Linked DNA regions of Sus scrofa. The protein of the gene in region 5 interacts with the protein of the main gene of each other region in a biochemical or structural test. Links are inferred from orthologs where the notes say so. Each region holds a gene or a part of one and is shown on either strand. Other genes may lie near its edges.

Evidence for each region.
Region 1: of the proteins of histone H1.5 (region 5) and PRKCD, one has a biochemical effect on the other in vitro, tested with the Homo sapiens proteins (2 studies listed by BioGRID). The link is inferred for Sus scrofa from reciprocal best matches to the Homo sapiens genes H1-5 and PRKCD.
Region 2: of the proteins of histone H1.5 (region 5) and CCNB1, one has a biochemical effect on the other in vitro, tested with the Homo sapiens proteins (2 studies listed by BioGRID). The link is inferred for Sus scrofa from reciprocal best matches to the Homo sapiens genes H1-5 and CCNB1.
Region 3: of the proteins of histone H1.5 (region 5) and CCNA1, one has a biochemical effect on the other in vitro, tested with the Homo sapiens proteins (2 studies listed by BioGRID). The link is inferred for Sus scrofa from reciprocal best matches to the Homo sapiens genes H1-5 and CCNA1.
Region 4: the proteins of histone H1.5 (region 5) and histone PARylation factor 1 form a complex in vitro, tested with the Homo sapiens proteins (2 studies listed by BioGRID). The link is inferred for Sus scrofa from reciprocal best matches to the Homo sapiens genes H1-5 and HPF1.
Region 6: of the proteins of histone H1.5 (region 5) and CCNE1, one has a biochemical effect on the other in vitro, tested with the Homo sapiens proteins (4 studies listed by BioGRID). The link is inferred for Sus scrofa from reciprocal best matches to the Homo sapiens genes H1-5 and CCNE1.

Annotation. Positions count from the first base shown.
Region 1 is NC_010455.5:35,313,562-35,317,247, forward strand, and holds part of PRKCD (protein kinase C delta type), read left to right. Parts: intron 1-160; coding exon 161-257; intron 258-438; coding exon of another isoform or gene 439-441; coding exon 442-539; intron 540-692; coding exon 693-866; intron 867-1,129; coding exon 1,130-1,221; intron 1,222-1,789; coding exon 1,790-1,852; intron 1,853-2,849; coding exon 2,850-2,988; intron 2,989-3,137; coding exon 3,138-3,326; intron 3,327-3,686.
Region 2 is NC_010458.4:47,337,012-47,341,197, reverse strand, and holds the start of CCNB1 (G2/mitotic-specific cyclin-B1), read right to left. Parts: upstream 2,960-4,186; 5' UTR 2,828-2,959; coding exon 2,807-2,827; intron 2,199-2,806; coding exon 2,028-2,198; intron 1,935-2,027; coding exon 1,758-1,934; intron 1-1,757. UniProt on the Homo sapiens protein: Essential for the control of the cell cycle at the G2/M (mitosis) transition.
Region 3 is NC_010453.5:12,394,653-12,398,986, reverse strand, and holds the start of CCNA1 (cyclin-A1), read right to left. Parts: upstream 2,839-4,334; 5' UTR 2,662-2,838; exon of another isoform or gene 2,498-2,661; intron 2,207-2,497; 5' UTR 2,183-2,206; coding exon 2,018-2,182; intron 1-2,017. UniProt on the Homo sapiens protein: May be involved in the control of the cell cycle at the G1/S (start) and G2/M (mitosis) transitions. May primarily function in the control of the germline meiotic cell cycle and additionally in the control of mitotic cell cycle in some somatic cells.
Region 4 is NC_010456.5:20,017,077-20,020,762, reverse strand, and holds part of histone PARylation factor 1, read right to left. Parts: intron 3,391-3,686; coding exon 3,231-3,390; intron 1,484-3,230; coding exon 1,294-1,483; intron 59-1,293; coding exon 1-58. UniProt on the Homo sapiens protein: Cofactor for serine ADP-ribosylation that confers serine specificity on PARP1 and PARP2 and plays a key role in DNA damage response.
Region 5 is NC_010449.5:21,621,308-21,623,965, reverse strand, and holds histone H1.5, read left to right. Parts: upstream 1-1,319; 5' UTR 1,320-1,369; coding exon 1,370-2,050; 3' UTR 2,051-2,103; downstream 2,104-2,658. UniProt on the Homo sapiens protein: Histone H1 protein binds to linker DNA between nucleosomes forming the macromolecular structure known as the chromatin fiber. Histones H1 are necessary for the condensation of nucleosome chains into higher-order structured fibers.
Region 6 is NC_010448.4:39,917,936-39,922,354, reverse strand, and holds the start of CCNE1 (G1/S-specific cyclin-E1), read right to left. Parts: upstream 2,815-4,419; 5' UTR 2,560-2,814; intron 2,075-2,559; 5' UTR 2,046-2,074; coding exon 2,023-2,045; intron 1,911-2,022; coding exon 1,823-1,910; intron 1,606-1,822; coding exon 1,537-1,605; intron 1-1,536. UniProt on the Homo sapiens protein: Essential for the control of the cell cycle at the G1/S (start) transition.

The DNA.
Region 1 (3,686 bases), on a different chromosome or scaffold from region 5:
GTGTGTGTGTGTGTGCGCACATTTGCACCACCCGTGAGTCCCAGACTCTGCTCTTGTTGTCCCCATTGGTATTGAAGGTGGAGTTAAGGATGGTTGGGTGGGGTCCTCTGTCTGGGCTGGGGGTTCTGACCATGGTCTGACCCTCTACCCCCTCTTCCAGAGACCTGTCCGAAAGTCAGAGTCGGAGGTTGCAGAGACGGTTGGGATCTATCAGAATTTCGAGAAGAAGCCAGGAGTCTCTGGAGATGATGTCTCAGGTGAAGCTGTGCCCACACCTTCCAGGAAAGCCCCTGCTTCTGATGTGGCACGCGTCCCAGTTTCCCTGCACAGTCCAGGGAGAACTGAGAGGAGGCCCACCCCGTGGGGAAGGGACACAGCAGGGGAGACCCCCTTCTTGGGTCCCAGGGCAGAAACCTGAGACTCAGTCGCCATCTCCAGCAGGCACTGGGACCTATGGCAAGATCTGGGAGAGCAGCACCAAGTGCAGCATTGACAACTTCATCTTCATCAAGGTCCTGGGCAAAGGCAGCTTCGGGAAGGTGAGGGGCCCCACATCCCTGGGGCAGGCAGCCCAAGGGACCCTGGCCCAGGAGTCCAGGAGCACCTGCCTCCCACCCTCCCTGGCTGCTCCTGGTTAGGTGAGGTGTGCGGGCCTGGCCCTCCCCTGCTCAGTGCCCCTGCCCATCCGTCAGGTGCTGCTTGCAGAGCTGAAGGGCAAGAAGGAATTCTTCGCCATCAAGGCCCTCAAGAAGGACGTGGTTCTGATCGATGATGACGTGGAGTGCACCATGGTAGAGAAGCGGGTGCTGGCGCTCGCCGGGGAGAATCCCTTTCTCACCCACCTCTTTTGCACCTTCCAGACCAAGGTACCCGTCCATCCCAGGGTCATTGCCCCTGGAACACAGCCCCCTTGAGCGGCTCAGGTCAGGGCCTTGTCTCCCACTGAGACATATCAAGGCAGGGCCCAGGCTTCCTTCTCAGACCACTTTGAGGCAGGGCTGTGTCCCTCTCCTCATTCTGCCCAGGACAGAGTTGTGCCTTGCTCCCTCTGGGGCTTGCCCCCTGTGGCCCTCAGTGAGGGAGCATCCGGCCAGTTTCTGTGCCTCCACTCACCATGCTCCCCCCGCAGGACCACCTGTTCTTCGTGATGGAGTTCCTCAACGGGGGGGACCTGATGTACCACATCCAGGACAAAGGCCGTTTCGAGCTCTACCGTGCCACGTACGCCAGGCCCTGTGGGGAGAAGAACTGTCTGCCTTCCATTCCTTCTTCCCTCCCCCTGGAGAAGCTAGCCTGCACTAGGGCTGGAGTTGGAGAGATTTGGGGTGGCCAGGGCCTTTTCCTCCCTCCTTGTGGGAAGCCAAGGGTGGTGGGTAAGCTGTGGCTGGGAACACAGCCCTTGCCGTGCAGGTCCAGTCCCCACATTGGGCCGAAGCCGGCGCAGCCTCTCAGATGGTGATCCTGCACGATGCAGGACCCTGGGGTGTGGCCCCCAGACTACCATGCACCTCTAAACTGTGTGCATATGCACATATGCATAGCTTTATAAATTCATACGCTCGCAGGACAGACAGCTGTCTCATTTGGAGCTTTTCTCTTCATAATTTTCTTTCCTGCCTTGGCTGCCAGTCCCTACTTGCCTGATACAAGATGTACTTGATCAAGCCTAGGTTGTCCGTGCAATTATTTGCAGCATTTCCTGCCCTGGGGGGTGGGGACAAGGACCCAGGGAGAAGCAGTGGCTGCTCACAGAAATCTCAGAACACGTGTGTGTCTCTCTCTCATCCAGGTTTTATGCGGCTGAGATAATCTGTGGGCTACAGTTTCTACACCAGAAAGGGATCATTTACAGGTGTGGGGGTTGGAAGTGGGGGGTGTTTAGGAGGGGAGCCCCCCCACCCCTTCATGTCCTCTGAAATGCTCTGAGTGGGGCCCAGTCCAGATATGGCCCCATCTCTGCTTGCAGTCAGTCTTTAGTTGGGTATTTGCCTAAGCCACCTACTCCATTGCTAGAATTCCTTGCGGCCCCTTAGCTGAGGCTGGCACAACCCCATGGACTGGGAATTCCTTGCCCATACCCTATGGCTTTGGCCCATACTGACTGGTATATTGTGTCTCCCTCCCTTGGAGCTGTTGGTCCCTGTCTAAAGCCCCATCCGAACATTCTGAGCATCCACAGATAGGGACTGTTTCCTTAAGTTCTCACCCCATAAACCACAGTCCCATCCTGCTGTGGATTAATATGTACCCATCAAAAAGGCCGAGGCCGACATGTGTACTGGTGGTTGATGATGCCAAGGTGTATTGTCAAGTGGAGAACCAATCCATGGGATGGTGTGTATTGGATATTAGGGTTCAGGCTTTAAAAGGTGGTGTGAGACACACATTGTAATGTGCTGTCCGTACCTGGACTCTCTCAGGAGGGCCTGGTGAGTGAGGTTGGTGGAAGATGGGCCTTGGGCTGTTTGTCTTTTCTGGTACCTGTTACCATGTGCCTAAGTTATCCACTGAAACAACTAACTACGTAAAATAGACCGGCCCCCTGCCTCTGTGGATTAGACAAACCTGAGCCCAGACACTTCCCCAGCTGACCACATGGGTGACCCTGGGCCAGTGACACATCACATCTCTGAGCCTCATTTTGGGCTTCAGAGTGTTTCCCCACAGTAGGCGGTTCACAGGAAGCACCTGTTTTTAGTACCTGTTTCCTTTTCTCTTCCTCATCCCCTTGTCCCCATGGGGCGATAAGGTCCTAGGTTTGCAGGGCTGACAGTGGGGACATGGGAGGAGGCTGCAGGGAGGATGGGAACTGGTCTCTGATGACCCCCTTTCCTGTCCCCTCCCCTCAGGGACCTCAAGCTGGACAACGTGATGCTGGACCGGGATGGCCACATCAAGATTGCTGACTTCGGCATGTGCAAGGAGAACATGCTGGGGGACAAACAGGCCAGCACCTTCTGCGGCACTCCTGACTACATCGCCCCAGAGGTGGGCGGCACCCTCTCCCCCCAGCCCCGTCCCACACCTTATCTCCACAGGGTGGGGGCAGCAACGTCCAAGCCACAGCTGGGACACTGAAGAGGCCAGCTGGGGCTCGTGCTCTGGGCCCCCCAACTCTGACACCCCCTCTGCCCCAGATCCTACAGGGCCTGAAGTACTCATTCTCTGTGGACTGGTGGTCCTTCGGAGTCCTTCTCTATGAAATGCTCATCGGTCAGTCCCCCTTCCACGGTGATGATGAGGACGAACTCTTCGAGTCCATCCGTGTGGACTCACCGTATTATCCCCGCTGGATCACTAGGGAGTCCAAGGACATCCTGGAGAAGGTGGGAGGCCCTGGGCAGGGCTGGCTGGGGCAGGGTTTGGCAGACACCAGGCTGTGGGAATGTGTCAGGGATGGCAGCCTCACTGATGCTCTGGTCCTAACACACTGAGTGGATCACTCTCTGCCACGTTCTCAGGACCTCCCGTTTGGGTTCCCTGCACTGAATCAGTCTGGCATGTGATTATGGGCTTGGGAGTGAGGAGACAGATGGACCTAAGGCCAAACGCTAAGTTTGTCTCCTTGTCTGTAAAACGAGACTAGGAGAGAACCTGTCTCAGTGTTTCGGTGAAAAAGAAAAAAAAAAACCATAAATGTGGATGCTCAGGTGGATGCTCAGGTCTATGCCCAGCAGATAGTAAAC
Region 2 (4,186 bases), on a different chromosome or scaffold from region 5:
AACTTAGGCTGAGCCAATTTAGAGGCAGCAGCTAAACAGTTACAACAGAGAGGAAGCAAATTCATATTCAAGACTTTCCTCCAAATAAAACTGGTAAGTAATGGATCTGTTTAGCGATGTCATGTGAAGTTAATCCAAGTGAATATGTTAATCCTTAGTCTTTATTTCAAATTATGGACTGTTTCCCACTGCCCAAAAGAACACAAGTTCTGTTCTGACTACTAAGGATTAACTGACTTGTTATCACAAACCATTTTCCTCAAGCTCCAGTTACCCTGTGGTCCAAACATTGACTGAGCACTTTCTTCAAATCAAGCCCTGTGCTAGACACTGGCTTTATGATGTCCTCAAGAAGCTTTGAATTTAGAAAAAGTAAATGGGAGTTCCCGTCGAGGCTCAGTGGTTAACGAATCTGACTAGGAACCATGAGGTTGAGGGTTCGATCCCTGCCCTTGCTCAGTGGGTTAACGATCCGGTGTTGCTGTGAGCTGTGGTGTAGGTTGCAGATGCGGCTCAGATCCAGCGTTGCTGTGGCCCTGGTGTAGGCCAGTGGCTTCAGCTCCGATTAGACCCCTAGCCTGGGAACTTCCATATGCCGCGGGAGTGGCCCAAGAAATGGCAAAAAGACAAAAGACAAAAAACAAAAAACAAAACAAAGAAGTAAATGAAGTAAAGAGACTGATTCTGGGAACAAGAGTAGGGTGGGGGAAGTTAAGATGGGGATGGGGGAAGTTAAAGAAAGCTTTGGGTGTTGATGCTTGAGCTGTTATGAAGGATGAAAAGGTTATCAGTTACATGAAAGAGGGTGGGAAAAGTATTCTTGTAAGTGGGGAAGCAAAGGTTAGAATCACTATGGGACTTTTAAATGAAAGCTCAGGTCATGAGGTATGGTCAATTAAAGAGTGGGGGAAAAAAAAAAGGAACAAATGAAAACCACAAAAAAAATCCCATAAAACAAAGACTGTGCATGCTACAGTTTTCTGTGCTGTGTCCAGAAGGTCAATATTAAATCCACAGCCTCAGTCACATCCCCTTCCCTTAGACATACAATGAGGCTGAATGACTTTAACAGACCATTTCCCAACCAGCTTTAAGGAGATATTAAAAATTAGTACTTAAGAATGCAATTCATTGCAATTTCAGCCAAGCAGCCTCTTCTAGATGAAATATTTTTCCCTCACAGAAGAAGATACATTTAATATCTGATATTTAATAAAAAGTTCTTGGTGTTGAGGCCAAGTGTTAAGCCATCTTCTTACCCTGCTCTCTGAAGAGCTACATTTTCTGCTTTACACATTTATATATTTCGGTGTTGGCTTATTATTATTTGGTGGCCACATTAGGGAGTAAACAAAAAGGACTTAAAGAGAACAATCTGTGCTTCAGTCAACATATTCTGGTCAGAGATGACTGGTACCTTAAAGACAGCAAAATCTTTGGTCCCTGCAGCTACCACTCAATACCGTAAACAAAGGAGGGGTAGTAAAACAAAGCAATTAAAAGCACAGTTTCTGAAGCCAGATAGGCTGGGTTTGAACCCAATTCTGTCATTGACTAGATGTGACTAGAAGAATACCAGTGCTGAGTATACTATTAACGTGAGCTAATGCATGTACAGTGCTTAGCAGAACCTACTTCCTGTTAAGTACTATATAAATGTTACTATTACTACTATTTGTTCAAATGCTATTCCATACTTGAATAAAATGAAAGGAAACAAACAATCAACAGACTCTAAAATGGTCCAGAAAGTTTACCAAAATAGGTTCAGGGGAAAGTTTCTCTCCTTTAACAGGCTCAGGTTCTGGTTCAGGCTCCAGTTCAGGCTCGGGCTCCCTCTCTGGCTGGGGCTCTAATACAGGTACAGGAGCCTTTTCCAGAGGTTTCGGTAGTTTTTTAGCAACAACTTTTCCAGCAGCTAAAGTTTTTGCTTCCTGTGGATGAAAAGGAGAGAATGGATTGTTTCTCCACCAAGAGCCACAGCTGGAAGGGAGACACTCACAGAATAGTTGAATCAGCATAGTTACCTTTTTCAGAGGCAGTTTGGCCTGTGGCTGTTCACTGACTTTGTTACCGATGTCTCCAAGAGCAGTTCTTGGCCTCAGTCCGGGCTTAGAGGTTGCAGCAGAGGCCACAGGCACGCGCTTTGCGCCTGCCATACTGATCTTCGCCTTATTTTCAGCATTAATTTTCGTGTTCTGTAAGAAGCAAGACGAGTCTGGGAGTTGGCCCCGCCACGTTAAAATAAGTCAAGGGTTAAAGCGGGGCAAAAAAAAAAAACAACAAAAAAAACTGCGGCCCTCAGAAGGAAAGCCGACTGTGAATGGGTTCCCAGGGGAAACCGGGGTTCCAGGGTCTACGCTAAGCTTATGACAAGTCAGTTTTCTCCTGGAACCTCTCCGTTCACCTATTGAGGGATTACGTGCTCAGTCCCCGCCGGACCTAAAATACCATGGAAATCGAAAAAGCCTTCAATTGCAGGCACCTTCCCTTTCCCTCAGGGAAGAAGATTGCGCAATTGGTGGGAGCCCACTCGGGTCCTCCAACACCTTTTACAAAAGGTTTCCGGTCTACCCTCCATCTGCCCCCTCCCCCCAATTAGTCCAAGGCCCATCCGCTTCTCTTTTGCACCTTTCTCTCTCCGTCCGTCTGCCCCCCAAACTCTCCCAGTATGTTAGGGGCCCACCGACCGCCTTCCTCCTCTCCAAATTCGCTCCCACCGTGGGGGAACTCCAGCAGGGGAAACAGGGAGAGGAGACCCAGGAGTCAGGAGAGCCGCGTTTGTTCACCAACCGCAGCAGCTCACCCTGGTGATCCGGAGCGCCATGACTTCCTCTGTACCAGGCCAGGCAGCAGCTCAGAGGGGAGAAGCAGAGCACTGGAGCCCCGACCAGCCGGGGACCTTGAAGCCACCACTAGCTAACAGCCGTTCCTCCGCAGCACGCCGGGAGGAATCCGGCCCCGCCTCGGGTTTAAACCCCGCACCGCTCCCTCCTTATTGGCCTGTTCGTGGCACTCGCTCACTTCCCATTGGCGGCGGCCAGTTCCTCCGAAAATGCGTTTCCAAGGCGATCCCGCGAAGAAGTTCGGGCGGGGGCGGGGCCAGGCCGTCACGTGGTCTGACTCGGCGCCTGCGCCCTGGGGCAGCCGCTACTGCCACCTGATGAAGGGAGGGTTCTCTTTGCCCCACACCTGGAGCAGTGAACTTGTAAGCGACTAAAGTTAGCTGAGACAAGTCACAGCGGCCTTGGGAAAGGAAGAGTGGAGCTCCTTGTTTGACGTGAGGGGCAGTTATGGCTTTAGTCCTACTTGTTAAACACACTTTCCTCTCCTAGAGTGGCTTGTAGCAGGAAATACTTTTATATATACATTCTTTTTTCGTTTGTTCATTCCAACAGCACTCTGGGATAAAAAGGAGGCTCCGAGATGCTTTGGGTGACTCCCAGGATCACAAATTAGTAACACGGGATTGAACTTCACTTTCTTTGGATCCATGAGGTTTCCACACACTAATTGTCTCTTAATTTTGCAAGCCAGGCTGCCTCTTAACCTGCCAGATTACTTCAATCAAGTTGTTTCCCAAAGCCAATCTTTTTCTTTTAGTTTTTTACTTGAAAATAATTTCAAACTTACAAAAGTTTCAGACAAAAATGTAACAAGGAACACACATAGAGCCTTTATCCAGATTCAAATATCCTTAACATTTTTACCCCATTTGTTTTATGGTTTACTTAATCTTATATATAGATCTATGTATAACTGTATATAAATTTTTTTTCTTGGAAATACCTGTTGTGGCTCAGCAGTAACAAACCTGACTGGTATCCATGAGGATTCAGTTTCCATCCCTGACCTTGCTCAGTTGCCCTGAGCTCTGGTGTGGGCTGCAGATGTGACTTTGATTCAACCCCTAGCCTGGGAACTTACATATGCTGCACGTGCGGCCCTTAAAAAAACAAACAAACAAACAAACAAAAAACCACTTAAATATTTGAGGGTAAGTTATATATATCATGGCTCCTTATCTGTTAAATTTTTAGTGTGTATTTCCTAAGGAAAAAAGCATATTCTCTTAATGTAATCACAATAGAATTAGCAACTGCGTAAATTTACTATAACATTTTATTCAATCTAGTTTGTATTCTAATTTTGTCGCTTGAGCAGTTTCTAGCACTTTCTTTCCTCC
Region 3 (4,334 bases), on a different chromosome or scaffold from region 5:
GACAGGAGCTAAAAGAATGAGTCATCAACAGAGAGATGGTATTTAATGCCAGGAGACTGGAAGAGATTGCTATGGGAGTGAGTGGAGATTCAGCTCAAATACGAAGCCCTGGCACACTCTAACTTTTAGCGAGCGGATGAGGAAGGACCACCGAGGAGGTACAGCCAGTGAGCTAGGTTGGAAACCAGGCCCTGTTCTCCAGACTGCGTGAGAAGAAACTATTTCAAGGAGTGAAGAATGATCAACAATGTCAAATGCTGCCAACTGGTCAAGTAAGGAAAGGCTTGAGAACTGATTAAGAATTGAGTCAAAGAGAACAAGAGAAGAATCTGAGACACAGTATTTGTTCAATAAATCCTCGCATGCTACCCTGGCCAGGCACTGTTCTAAACACTGGAAGTACAGCAGTAAACCCAATGTCCCAAACCCTCATCCTGATGGAATTTACATAGACAAACCCTCAAGAAATACTGCCATAAATGGGACAGTTGCTGCAAAGAGCTTTGTAGTTGCAAGGTTTTTAGGAATGAAAAAAAAAAAAAATCACAGTATATTTTCATGCTTCTGGGTTTGATCCAGTGGAAAAGAGAAAGACAAGGTGATGGAATGATATCCTTAAAAAGGCAAAAGGGCATAAGGTGTGCTGCACACACGGGGCGTTCCCCTTGCATAAGAGCAGGGACACATGGGTTACGTAGCGGGAAGGGGGTGGCAGAGTATATGGTAGGTACACGGGACCATGTGGAAATTCTCTTCCGGTTACATCTATATTTTTAGGAAAATAGGATATAGTTATTAACTGAGAGTAAGGATGGAGATGGAGGCTTTCAAGGATAAAAAGAGAAGGGAATGTATAAAATAGGAGGTTTCTATAAGAAGGGTGCAGAGGAATAGAGTCGGGAAATGTAGAGGTATCGCCAGGCAACACAGAGCTTAATTGACAGTTGTGAATTTAAAGTGAGCTCAGTCAGCGTAGGTGTAACTGCCAATTCGTAAGAGGTTTTCAACTTCAAGTTTAAAGAAGTAAACACCACTAAGCACATTAAGTTTGTTAAAACCACCTTTACTCTGTTTTTTCCAACGCTTGAAACATTACTTTGGGTATTTTTCTCTCACTAATCAGATGTCACCAAAACAGATGACTTGAATAGTCTGTAGATGAGGAGAGGCTTCTGATCTGGTCTCCATCATGAATTTCTTTTCTTTTTTGGTCTTTTTTAAACCTCTCAAATTTGCTCACATATAAAATGGAAAGAACACCTGCCCACCTATGTCACTGTATGGTTGCCAATGTCATTCCACTACATATGTACACTACAGACTTAAGGCATGGTTATGAGAAGCTTTGTCTAATAACAGACTTAGATTTTTTTTGTTTAATCTCAAAATTCATTCTTAAGGATCCAAACTCCTCTTTTACATTATAAGTCTCTGAATTTGTTTACAATCAGTTAAAGGAAGTATCTCTGATCCGTTAAGTGCAAGCAACTAATGTCAGATGGCCCATGAGCTGTTTGCCCAACTGTCCTTAGTCAGTCCTGGAGAGAAGTCTACTTTCAAAGCACGCATTTTGAAGTAATCTAGGATAGGCTGATCCAATCCTGATTCTACACCATCACCAATGAACTTAAAAGTTACCCAGGATGCCTCAGGCACAGCCGAGATCAGTGTGGATACCGCTCCAATCTGTGGGAACCCCAGTTCCACAGTTTATTTTGGAGCATTCTCATTTCCTTTTAGCCCAGAACTTAAATGACTTTACGCATACTTACTCTAAACAGTTCCTAGGTTTCTTTCCTTGATATCGGAAAAATAACAGAAAAGTATTCAATATTTCTAGCTAGAAAAAGGACCCAAGAAAGAAATCTTTAATAAATCAAGGTCCCTCTAGTCCAGATTCCAGGGTTGAAATACTCAGGGGACGTCTGTAGGTAAAACTGCCAGAGAAACCCACCTCTCACCATGACATGAGAGCCCTTCTCAACAGGTAACCGTCCCAGCTCTTCTCAGTCGTTACCTGGCCACAGGTCCTCCTGTATTGCCCATTCTCGGTTAGCACCCCTAGTACTGTTCTTTGTGGTGGATCCTGGCTGAGCTGGGCTCTGGACATCATCTGACAGGCATCAGGACCTCCGGACACTGGAGCCAGCACTCTCCCGCTCTTGGAGCTACTGAGATGCATAGCCTCAGTCTCCACAGGCTACTGCTATCAGGGAAGGAGAAACAGACATGCTGGTTAGTCAACCTCTTCCAGCACGGGCTCCAGAATGCAGCAAATCCCCAGAAGAGAGAGCACTGAAACATATGATCTTCACTGCAGTTATTAGGGTTGAAAAGGCCTGAGCCACGGTGCAAGCGATCAAAGCTACTTTGAACCAAAACAGGGATTTGAATCTCTCCAGGCTTTCTTCCCAAACCAGGCTGACGGCTGGAAGGAGGAAGGCAGACCTCCACGGCCGGACACTAAGCCCCAGGTTAATTGGGAGTCCAAACCTACAGGTCTATGTCTTTTCCGGCTATGAGACTTATCCATCACCCCACCATCCCTCTGCCTGCAGTCGACCCAGGATACATCACTGTGGGAAAATATATCCCCTTCCCAAGTGACAAGAAGCGTGCTCTTCCGCGGCCCTCCTCCCGCAAGACATAAGACCCCAAAACCTGCTTGAAGCCCACAGCGGGCCTCGCTCGTCTCAGCTTTATGTCTTTATATATGTCTCGAACAATTGGCAAGTGCACACCAGGATTGGGAATGAGGGGCAGCCTAAGGGGGCGGGGGCGGGGCGGGGCGAGGCGGAAGGGGACCGAGGTGTTAATAGATTCCAGCCTTGGCGCCGGGATCTCAGCCTGGGCTGCCAGCTCCTCAGCTCTAATTATTTTCAACTCCCCCGCCCCCCGCGTCTGTTGAATCGGCCAATCAGCGGCGCTCTCGGGCCTCACGGGGGGGCCGTTTCCATGCCAACCGCGGCCGGCGTGCGCGATCCGGGTCGCATCGCTATGGCGACCTCCTCACCTGACACGCTCGGGGCGGACGCACCGCGACCCCTGGGCGTTCAGGGCTGGGAGGGACCAACCGGCAGCCGCCCCGGGCTCTTCCTGCGCTGCCCTGCCCGGGCGTGCCCGGGCGAGCGGGTCGCCGCGGGCACCCGCGCCCTTTCTGGCTGGCCTCCCGGGTCTGGCAGGGAGGAAGAAGGCCCACCCCGCGATGGCCAGGGTTTGGAAGGGACTGTTTCCTTGAACCCGTTCTCCCAACAGCCACTAACTCCTCCCGCCAACGTCTTTTCCTCGGCCCGCTCCTGAGAACCTTGGCTCGGGAGAGCGACGCGGGGCCCTCGGGGCTGCGCAGGCCGTGGCGCCTTGACCGCGCCCGCCCCAGAGCGCGGCTAGATCCCCTTCGCTGGCCCACACACCTACACCTTCTCCCAGAGAGAGGCCACATAGCTGCGGGTTGGCCCCTGGTTTGGGCTGGGGCTTCCTAATCCGTGGTGGCGGCGTGTCCTCGCTCATTTTGAGTCCTTGCGCACCAGAGGTTGCTCCTGGTCGGCCCGGGTTCTGGTGCATTTGGCCCGGCAGGGTGGGAGAGGAGATCTGGGGTTTTAGGGTCGCACGTGGTGCGGACAGTCCCCACGAGAGGTCTTCCCTGGCGGGTTCCGGCAGTCACGGCCTGAGGCGGGTCCAGGAACGCCGAGATAGTGGCCCAGGAAGAGGAAGGAACGCGGGTGGCAGCGATGGGGCTTGGGACGTTGAGGGAGAACGTAATGAGGCTCGGAACTGGGTTCGGGGCAGGTGGCCTCGCCACGTGGGGAGGAAAATCCTTGGATGGGGGTCCACCCGCAGAAGTTAACTGGCAAGGCAGGTAAAAGAGTCTTTAACGTTGTGATTTTTTGGAAAATATTTGTGTGCACATGTGTGTGTATCTGTGTGCACACACATATACACATTGCATATAAAACGTTGCTGCTTTTGTCTGCTTTTATTTTTTTAAATGCTCATCCCTAAGCAGACCACCAAAACCATTTAAATGAGCATTTTAAGAAATGATTAGCTGATCAGTTATCAAAGTTCCCCTCGTGGTGCAGCGGAAAGGAATCCGACTAGGAACCAGGAAATTGCGGTTTGATCCCTGGCCTCCGCTCTTTGGGTTAAGGATCCAGCGTTGCCATGAGCTGCTGGTGTAGATGGAAGACGGGGCTTGAATCTGATGTGGCTGTGGTATAGGCCTGCAGCTACAGCTCCTATTCGACCCCTAGCCTGGGAACCTCCATATGCCGCTAGTGCAGCCCTAAAAAGCAAAAAAGAAAGAAAGAAATGATTAGTTACCACCTTCCTTATTT
Region 4 (3,686 bases), on a different chromosome or scaffold from region 5:
ACAATTTTTCTTTGCTTCATTTGTACCAACAAACACAGGAAGTTCATCAGGAGAATCCCTGTTTAAGCAAAAGATATTAAAAATTTAGCTGCCCATACTTTTCATTATCAGAAAAGTAGAATTTTATCTCTATAAACAATTTATATCTGCATGTTTCAAAAAACTGCCAATGAATGTGCCAGGGATAAGTTCTTAGTTTCTTACAAATATCACCCTTCCTTGCAAAAAAAGGAGTTCCCTTGTGGTGCAAAAGGTTAAGGATTCAGTATTGTCACTGCTGTGGCATGGAGTCAGTCTCTGACCCAGTAACTTCTACATGCTGAGGGTGCAGCAAAAACAAAAAAAAACAAAAAACAAAAACTATGACAAATCTTATTTACAGAACAAAACTCCAAATTAAGATCCTTAGTACCTAGTTACTTCTATACCTAAATACAAAGAAAGGGGGAATAAAGTCTATCAAAAAAAGAAGGTGTAATTATACATGATCATATTTACCCTTGGTCTACAGTCTGTGGAAAAGAATAAAGAAGGTGGAAAATGAAGAAAGAGGACAGAAAGGATTATAAAACCCTGGCAGTGAAAGGATCCAACTCATGTATCTATTAATCAAATGGTTTACCACTGAGGAAACCAATACAGAGATACCAAGTGACTCAGACAAGGTAACGGTTAAGCCAGAAGCAGATCCATGCACCCCCACTCCCAGCCCTGCATGTGCCCACAGCACCCTGACACCCCCAGGCACATTTGCCCAAGTCCTGATCCCCTCATCTCTGTCAAGACCGCACCTCCACAAGTGGATAAGGAACCCCCCACCACTTCTATTTCTAACATCTTAAGCATCTTGCATTTATCCTAATATTCCTATTAGGTAGGTATAATTAGAGGAAGAGAGGAAACAGAGTCACAAAGTCACAGGAACTAAGGACTGGCACAGGATCACCCAGGTAATGAATAGCAAGACCAGTCTGACTCCAAAGCACATCCTAGTTCTAGGATGCCTGGAAGCACGTGGCTAACTTAAGTCACACCAACTGCTCTGAATCATCTTCCTTGAGCTAAAAAAGCTCATCTGAACCTGAAAAGAAAAGAATATTTACAACCACAGAGGAAAAGCTGGTGAGGTTAGGCCTAATGAGTTCACCCATCCCCAGGTAGGTTAGCAGGTTAGAGAGGCAGGCAGCCCATGTACCCACCCCAGGGGAAAGCGTGCCTTCACCTTGAATGAAGCCGGCGAGCATCTACTTGCAGCGTTAGAGGCACAGCAGCTGTACTTTAGAGACCCTTTACCTGAAATAGCCCATGTGGAATTGGGTTTTACTGTCTCCGATGATAATGGTCTGGAACTCTGGAGGATCATAGTAGAATCGCCAGTGAAGGTTACAATTCAGGCTAGCTGACCTTTTCTTCATTTTATGTTTCCCGGCAAGGATATCATAAGGACCCACTAATCGAAGTCCAAGGCTTAGAGAAAGTGAATCTATAAATTAAGTAAGTTTATTTAGACAGTAGCTTTCAGGAGGCAGCTAAGAAATCATGACTTTCATTTGGAAAATACTTGTAAGCAACTAACTGTCTTAAAAAGGAGTTTCTAAAGTAAAAACTTTAGTTACATGTGAAAATGTTGTAAATACTTAATGGAAAAGAAACCAGAGCAATGAAGAAGTGGCATTTACATGTAGGATTTCCTCTTAACTCTACCACTGATTACATTTCAAACATTCCTGCTGTTTCTCATTTTGGCCAAAACAAGGCTATTTTGCGTTCCTGTGGGTATATCAGAGCTGCAAAGGCTCACCTCGTCTCCTTACTATGTTGCTGTCGGTCTCCAACATCCAGATGAAGGGAGAAGCACATCATTTCACCCCCTTCCTCTCCCTCAGCTGCTTATCAATTTTGACAACCTGGGGGCTCACCCCAGCCCCAGACGAGTCCCTTCACCACTCAAAAGTCTGGCTGTTCAATACAACCAGAGTCACAAGGTCTGTTCACCTGGACACTTGCACAACATCAGGCAGGCCCTATGCTCTCTGAGAGGGAGGTGAGCACTGCAGGCAGGCAGGTGAGCATGGAGAGAGGAAGAAAATTCTTGGGAGAGGTAACCATGTGAAAATAGGCCTGGAGACGTTCTATTTGGAGGGGAAATAATTCAGCTCAGCTGGAGCTTAGGCTAGCATATGCTAATTTTTACAGTAACAAAAAACCTAAAACCACCCATCTCACTAGCCATAAATTACTAAGTTGACAGCCTGGTATATGGTAGTAACACATTTCCCTCCCCCTCCCCCCAAAAGAGGTATTTTAAAGGGAGACCATGCTGTTCTGCAGTCTGATTTGTGGTTCTCCATCCTGTCCTAAAATCTAAATATTTTCCGATAGTATGAAATGTTCCTTTACTATGTCTATTCTACTGTTAATAGGCATTTATTGTTTCTTATCTTCTTCTAAACAACGCTTCAGTGAGCATCTTTGCTAATACATGTTTGTACACATCCACGAATACCTTTAGAAAACTTTTGCTGCACAGGTGAAGCATTTTGATACACTTCCAAAATTCAGTTACCCACCAATACACACTTCTGTCCATAGTACCTGGGGGTGATTCTCCCACCTCAGCTAAAAATTTATACAGTATGAAAGGGTAACAGCGAAAAGTATCTGTTAAACATTATTAGCTTTTTGTCTATCTTTTCAGAGATAATACAGGCACATAGGAAGTATACAGGGGGGTGTGGGTGTGTGTGTGTCCAACTTAAAAATACCAATGGTAGCATATGCTATACACTTTATTCACTTAAAACATTCCAGGAATGATCCTTTGTCATTTCCTCAAAGTCTGCCTCATTCTTTTAAAACTATAAATGTCCACTGAACAGATGTGTAAACAATGAGCATTTAAGCCATTTTCTATTTTTTTGTTCGAATGTCATTAAACATATTTTTGGTCACCTAATCCATAAGTTCCTAGAAGCAGCACTAAGTCCTACAAACTCCTGCAACACAGTAAATTATGTACCCATTTTCCTTCAAATTGTCATGGAAGCATGTTGTGATATACCTTTACTAGTTTAACAGGTGACAGTGACATTATTACAGCATTATTTTATATTTCTCTTATTCAAAACATGTTTGGAAAAGTTCCTTTTCCATGAGCTGTTTAGCCCCTTGGTCCAGTCTGCTGTCTTTTCCATTGGCAGAAGCAGGAGAAACATTCTGGAACAACTCACCAGCTGGCTTTTCAGGATCGAGTTCTTCACAGAACTTCCAGAAGTGATAGAAATCTTCTGGCAGAGAAAGCCTGTAATGACTTTCTACTTCTTTTCGAAGATCGGTGGGGATGTCAGCCTCACAGGACTTACTCTTCTTCACATCCACTGGCTTTTCACACTGAAAATTGGCACACAAAACTCTGTTTCTCCAAAAGTAATTGCAGTAACTTTGCTTAACAACATTGCTCATTTTTGTTCACCTGCATCTGTGAGAGACATGCTTTTTCTCTAAAACTCTATAAATGGTATGACTGAGTAAAATCTGGGGATTGTTTGGAGTAAGGAAAAAAAAGCAAAGAACACTTTATAACATATAGGTGTCAAGAGGTACACACAGCAAGTCTTTAAACACACTTCTCCAAGAGAATGGAAACACAGAAAACAAAACCCCAGAAAGTATAAAAGAAAAAGTAA
Region 5 (2,658 bases):
TACTAGAGTAGGCTGTAATTTCAATTCCAGGAGCTCCTGGGGTTGAAGTGTGTTGGTTCTCCGTTTTTCAAAGGGAAGAACCAACTGCTGGTTGCATTAGGTATCCTAAACATCACAACCAAGCTCAAAATCCTGTCCATATCTCGCACCTCTCCTCAGTAAATAGAAAAATTCACTGTCCCTTCAAACTTTTGGTCATTGCCTCAGTTTTCTTGAATGTTAATGTTTTCCTAATTTCTTCTAAACTTCTATAACCTCCAGTCCCTTAATGCTCAACCCATACTTCTCATAGTAGGCAATTATTTCACTGAAGCATATAGGTCTATCTTAAATACATAAAAATTCCCACACTGATGTCCTACAAAAGAGAATGTTCCTGACCATGGAAATTTGTTAAATGTAGATGGAGTTAAGGAGTTTGAGTGAGAGCACTGGGAAAAGCGCCTTGAAAGATAGACAAAATCCCATGCCATCTAAAACAGTTTGAGGTTTTGAGGGCTCCTGGAAACCCTTGAATAATTTTTATCAGGTATCAGAGTTTTTTTTAAAAATACATTATCTAGGCTAAGCAATTTTTGTTCATACTTTAATGGATTTGCCAAGGAGAAAAGGCATCTCAGTCAAAAACATACTAAATTTGTTTGAATTTGAATGCAGTTCATTCCATCCTGAAGCCAAAGCAAATTCTATTCCTCCTGGAAGAAGTCACTCTGGCAACAGTACTATTACGTCTCTGAAGACATGGGCATGTGGAAACTCCTTGAGAGGCAAAACCGGTTTTTAAAGAAAGATGTATATGGTTAATTTGGGGCTGTATGTAACCAGCCACCCTGCGCCTGTGTTACTTCCTGCAGTTGGAAACCAAGTTTATGGCAAAACCAAGGAACCTAGTGTCTTTCCTACTGCAAGAATCAAAGGCCGAATTTAGGGACAAATCCTTTTTAAAAACATTCGCTTGATACTTATTAGGAATTTACTGTAACATCCAACTAACTAGCTCGATGCCTTGAGCCCGGTGGATTCCTATGAAAAGCTGAAGGGATTTTTTAAAATATCTTTCATCAGTTGCGCGTAATTCATTAAAACACAAACAAGTATGTGAACCTGGAGGCTATTTTCCTCCTTTGGAGTTTCAAAGGATAAAATTCTGTACGATTTTTTTTAGCATTTAATCAAATTTGGGGGACTAACAAACACAGTTTGGAAGTCCAACCACGAGAGGCGGCTGCCCTAGGGCGGTGGATTGGACGCTCCACCAATCACAGGGCAGCACCGGCTTATATAAGCCCCAGGCCCCAGCAAGGCAGCATTGCAAAACTTGCTCTTCGGATCTTGAATCCTACTTCCTCTGGCAGTTTCTCCCATCGCCATGTCGGAAACCGCTCCTGCTGAGACGGCTGCCCCGGCGCCGGTGGAGAAATCCCCTGCTAAGAAGAAGGCAACAAAGAAGCCTGCGAGCGGAGGGGCGGCCAAGCGGAAGGCAACTGGCCCCCCAGTTTCTGAGCTGATCACTAAGGCCGTGGCCGCCTCCAAAGAGCGCAATGGCCTCTCTTTGGCTGCGCTCAAGAAGGCGCTGGCAGCGGGAGGCTACGATGTGGAGAAGAACAACAGCCGCATCAAGCTGGGTCTCAAGAGCCTGGTGAGCAAGGGCACCCTGGTGCAGACCAAGGGCACCGGTGCTTCTGGCTCCTTTAAGCTCAATAAGAAGGCAGCCACTGGGGAAGCCAAGCCCAAAACGAAGAAGGCTGGGGCCGCTAAGGCAAAGAAGCCTGCCGGGTCCACCCCTAAGAAGCCAAAGAAGGCTGCGGGGGCCAAGAAAGCTGTGAAGAAGACGCCCAAGAAGGCCAAGAAACCCGCGGCTGCTGGCGTCAAAAAGGTGGCCAAGAGCCCTAAGAAGGCGAAGGCCGCCGCCAAGCCGAAAAAGGCTGCCAAGAGCCCCGCTAAGCCCAAGGCTGTGAAGCCTAAGGCCGCCAAGCCCAAAGCCGCAAAGCCTAAGGCAGCAAAACCCAAAGCTGCAAAGGCCAAGAAGGCGGCTCCCAAGAAGAAGTAGGAAGTTGGCGCTCGAGGTAGCAAACCCCCAAAGGCTCTTTTCAGAGCCACCCAGAGACCTCTGAAAACAGCTGTGCACTAAATATCAACTGTCCTCTTATATTCTTACTTTGGTTCAGGCATTCAACTTTCTTCCTCCGAGAAAGTTTACAAAATACGAAGGATGTAATAACATGGCTGAAACTTTAAAAAGCCCGCGCCGTGTTCTGATAGGTCCCTGATTCAAAAAACAATAACTACGCCCACACCCGCCACTTCGGGCGCCGCCGCGCGAGATCTGATCCGTATGAGTGTCCTAAAAGCCAAAGGTCACACGAACGCGGGATCCTTAAGCCCCAAGCTCAAAAACCGGGGTGCACCAGGGATCCAACCCAACACGCATCTCTCGTGTGTACTATTTGTTTTTGGGTTCGTTGAGCCACAAGGGGGAGGGAGAAGTTCCCGATTTTAAGATGGCTCTTGGCTCAACTTCCGCAAACCACCGGTAACAGTGACAATTGGATTGACACGAGCCAGCTCTTCCACAGAAAAAGTAGGTGGCTCTGAAAAGAGCCTTTGGTTTAGAAGGCTTTGCTACGGAAACCTTACTTGCCCTTGGCCTTGTGGTGG
Region 6 (4,419 bases), on a different chromosome or scaffold from region 5:
TCACAAAGAAGACATCCATAAACATCAACTTGCTTGGTCTGCAGTCTCTCTCTCTTTTTGCTTTTTAGGGCTGCACTCGTGGCATATGGAAGTTCCCAGGCTAGGGGTCGAATTGGAGCTACAGCCGCCGGCCTACACCACAGCCACAGCCACATCAGATCCGACCTGCATCTTCGACCTGCACCACAGCTCACGGCAATGCTGGATCCTTAACCCACTGAGCGAGGCCAGGGATCGAACCTGCATCCTCATGGATACTAGCTAGTCAGATTTATTTCCACTGCACCATGATGGGAACTCCCTGGTCTGAAGTCTTTCAGGAGAGAAAGAAGAAAAAAGAACTTGGAAGGCACTACCTTATTCCCTTTCCTAAAGTGAAGTACTTCTTCTAACACAGCAGGGAAATCAAGAATCCCTTGTTCAACACTCAGTAGAACCTCCCCAGAAATACTAATTACTAGGGTCCTGTGTGCAGTAACAACTGTTTTGCAAACAATGCAGCCCACGGCCTTGAAGCTCCTTACTCTTCCAGACCCAGCACTATGGCTGTTGTTCACTGCCCTACAAAGTGGAGTGCTGTCACTGCTAATGTCATGGGGACCACTATCCTTGGCTCAACCCTAATATTCCTGCTCAGTTTTTATCTGTTATTGCATTAGAAAGCCTGATCAGCTAGTCTGGAGATAGGCTGCTTCCCCTACTGGAGCCATAACTACATTCTCCAGCCATTTCTGGAGGTAGAGAGATAATACAAGCCTTTTCTGCTAGGAACTTCTGATATTATGACGATACCATGAGCATGCAAGAAATATGGCGGGAAGTCCACAAAGGAAGGGCAAGAGAAAAGGACCAGCCAATTTAAAAAGTGTGCTTGAGAGGTGCATTATCCTTACAGGGAATGTCCCACCAATGCTCTGGTGGAGGCCAGGTCAGGTACCAGACAGCAGGGATCACTACAGGTAATTGCTGGATGAGCTGGAAGAACGTTCAGAAAGGGGAAAAAAAGTCTGAAACATGACCCAACGGGGGTGGGAACAGGGAAGGGCAATTCCTAAGCACCATGACGAGAAAACACAAGTGTGGATGAGGGAGAAGGTGCTTCGGAGCACACGCAAACCACCATCATCACAGTGACCCAGAGTTCTGTGTCAGGAGCCTTCCCTGCAGTTCACCAGCCTGCAGACTAGGCTGAAGCACAGACTCCGCCCCTGGCTTGCACAGGACTCTGGGTTACTTTCTTCCTCTAACCGAGTCTCAGTTTCCTCAAGGGCAAAAGGAGAGGACTGAGTTATGTGATGTCCATTCTGGTTCTTCCAGACATGGGCGCATATTTGTCATCTCAGGGATGTCAGACAGGAACATACACCTTCCTGGAATCCCAAGGCTGGCAGCGGTCAGTGCCCACTGACGGGCACCGTCATATGGCCATAGTCAGAGAACAAGCCTTCAGCAGGAGCCAGCCAAGGGAATAAGAGACTACATTTGACCCCCCAAAAGGAAAGCCTCCATTTAGGCCCAATCAGTAAGTGTACCTACCTGATTGCCACACTGGCTTCTCACAGTTCTGTCAATTTTGGCCACATCTTCATCTGGATCTTGCAAAAACTGACGTAAAACAACCCCCACAACCCAAGGAAACACACCACACAGTCCAAAGACAAAAACACACACATAGAGAAGAAAAAGACAGTAGGTTAGGTTATGTGAGCACCATTTCTGCCAAACGCATTCCCCCGTGACCCCCTATCAATAAATAGGTGGGCAGAACCCAGGTATGATGAGAAGGGGGGAATCCTCCCCCACCTGTCTCCTTTGTACTCACAACGGCCACATTTGCCTTCCTTTTCCTGGAGCGAACAGAGACATCAGTGCCACTTTCCTCTTTCATAGTGTCAGGTTCCTTCGCATCCCTGCAAAGCCAGGGGGGGCACAGAGGTGAGGGTGAGTTCTCCCCAAATCTCGGCCCACCCCTCCCCCACCACTGCACACCTTTCCCTCTACCGCAGCGGCCAGGCCACTCACCTTTCCTTCTTCTCCCTCGGCATGGCGCTGGGCACAAGTTCAGACCTCAGGCCTGGGGGCACGAAAAGGCAGTGGGCTGAGGACCGGCGGCGGAGGGGGCCAGGGCCCCGCCGGCCCGTCCCTGGTACCCCTCCCCCTCCCGCGCGGGCGGCGGCGGCGGCGGGAGCCTCCCGGGCCGGTCGGGAAAATGGCCGATGGGCCCGGGGTGGCCTGTCACCCGCGGCGGCGCCAGCGACCGGCGATGCCGGGTCGGAACCCGGGGTGGGGGGGCCCTCGACGCCCCCCGAAACCCTCGCCGGCCCATCGCCTCCCTCGGGGCCCAGGCTGCCTCAGTCTTCCCCTCAACACCTCCCTGTAGCCTGTCTCTGAGCCGCCCTACCGGGGCACCCCGCGCTGACGCCTCTGGGGACCCGGCGACCCGATCTCGCCCCACCCCCACCCCCACCCCGGCCCGGCCCGGCCCGGCCCGGCCCGACCCGGGCGCTCCGGGAGTCCTTGCCCGCCGCGCCGTCCGGCAGCCCGCGGCGGGGTCCTTACCCGAAGCCGTCTCCGCGGCAGGCAGGCAGGCGGCACGAGCCGAGGCCGGACGCAGGAGGCAGGGGCGAGCGGGAAGCCGGGAGGCGGGAGGCGGCGGCGGGCCGAGCGCGCGGCGGTGGCGGGATCCGCGCCTGCCCCCTACACCGCGCTGGCGGCCGAGCCGGCTGCTCCTGCGCCCGGCTAAGAGCGGGACATTTAAAAATCCCAGCGCGCGGAACCGGCCCCCGGCCCGCCCTCGCGCCCTCCCGCCACCCTCCGCCCCGCCCCGGCCGGCTCGGAGCCCCTCAGCAGCCGCCCGAGGGCCCGGGCCCGCCCCGCCACCGCCCTCAGGACCGCCCCGCGCGGCGCAGGCCCGCCCAGGCGCTCGGCACCTCCGGGGGCGGGGCCAGCGAAGGGCGGGGCTAAGTGACAGGGCCTGCGCGCCGGAGGGGCGGGGCCCGGGGGCCGTGGCGGGGCCTGCGCGGCCTGAGCTGCGGAGCCCGCGCGGGGCGGGACGCGGGGGCCGGCCGGCGCGCGCGAGGGGGCGGGGACGCGCCGGCCGGCCGGCCGCGAGGGAGGTCTGGCGCGAGCGCGCGGAGGGGCGGGTCGCGGGGCTCCGGGGGCGGAGCCGAGCGGCGCCGGAGCGGCAAAAAGCCGCGTGGCCCGCGCGGGTGGAATGTAAACACCGCGGGCGACGAGGGTTCGGGCCCCGGCGGGGGTCGGGCCAGAAGACTCCGCATCCATCGGCCTGCCGCGCGCGCGCGCGCGCACTGTCGCTCCTTGCACGTCCTCCCCGCCCCCGAGAGACGCAGGGTTCCGGGCCCTGAGTTGGGGCGGGGATGTGCCCAAGGTCACAGCGCCTGGTCACAGGGCCTAGAACCAGGGCCTTAGGCCGCTAGGTCTGGGTACCCCTGTAGAACAGCTGTTACTCCTAGTCGCGTGTCAGCCCAACTGGCCATTCATGCGTGATTCTTTGCATGCATTCATTCAGCTAATATTCGAGCACCCTCCACGTGTGCCTCTTCCCCACAGATTCATCCCTGGCAGAAGCCCTTTCTGATGCTGGAATTCCACGCAGTTCTCTCCAGCGATAAAGTGTTTTGGCCCTTAAAGTCAAATCCACGCTCCCTGCCTTCCAGGGCTCCGCATGGAGTGGCCTTCGCCCCCCTCAGCCCTCCCCTTCAACCCCCTTCCCTGACGGCTCCCCTGATCACCCTCTGTCCTTTCTCATCTCAGGGCCTTGGAGTTTGTTGTTCCCAGCTCTGGCCCCTTGGGGCCGCTTGTCCTTCCGGAGAACGTCAATGACCACTGATTTAATCTAGAGCACCCCTCTCCCCAGGAGTTCCTGTCTACCCCATTGCCCTGCTGTGGTTCCTTCACAGCACTTGCCACCATTAAGTCTCTTGCTCCTTTCTGTGTTTGGTGCTCCTTTCCCTACTTTGCCTGTCCAGGTCTTGGCATAGTGCCTGGAGGAAGGGAGGCCCTTAAATCTTATTTGTGAAGGAATGCTTGAAAAACACAATCACCAAGCCCTTGTGGAGTTTATAGGCTATGGAGAGAGGTAGTACTGAACAATCGTGACTTGAAAGCACTACTGTATTAAGCCTCTAGAATAAGCATGTGGCAGAGAGCTCCTAAACACTCCTAAGGCCCTTCCTGATGTAGTCTCAGTCTTGGGCCCCCTCCTTCCGTGACTATCTTAAAATTAGAGCCTGGGTCTTACTGGTGGGCATGACTGTGTCATCCTCAGAGTTGCCAATTAGCAGATCGTTGAACTTCCTGGGGCTCTGAGGTCAAGGCCGCTGAGATGACTTGCTCAGGTTGGCTTAGGTAGACCTGGAATGCAGGTTCTTGAATTTCCAGCCCCGTGCCCTTAACAGT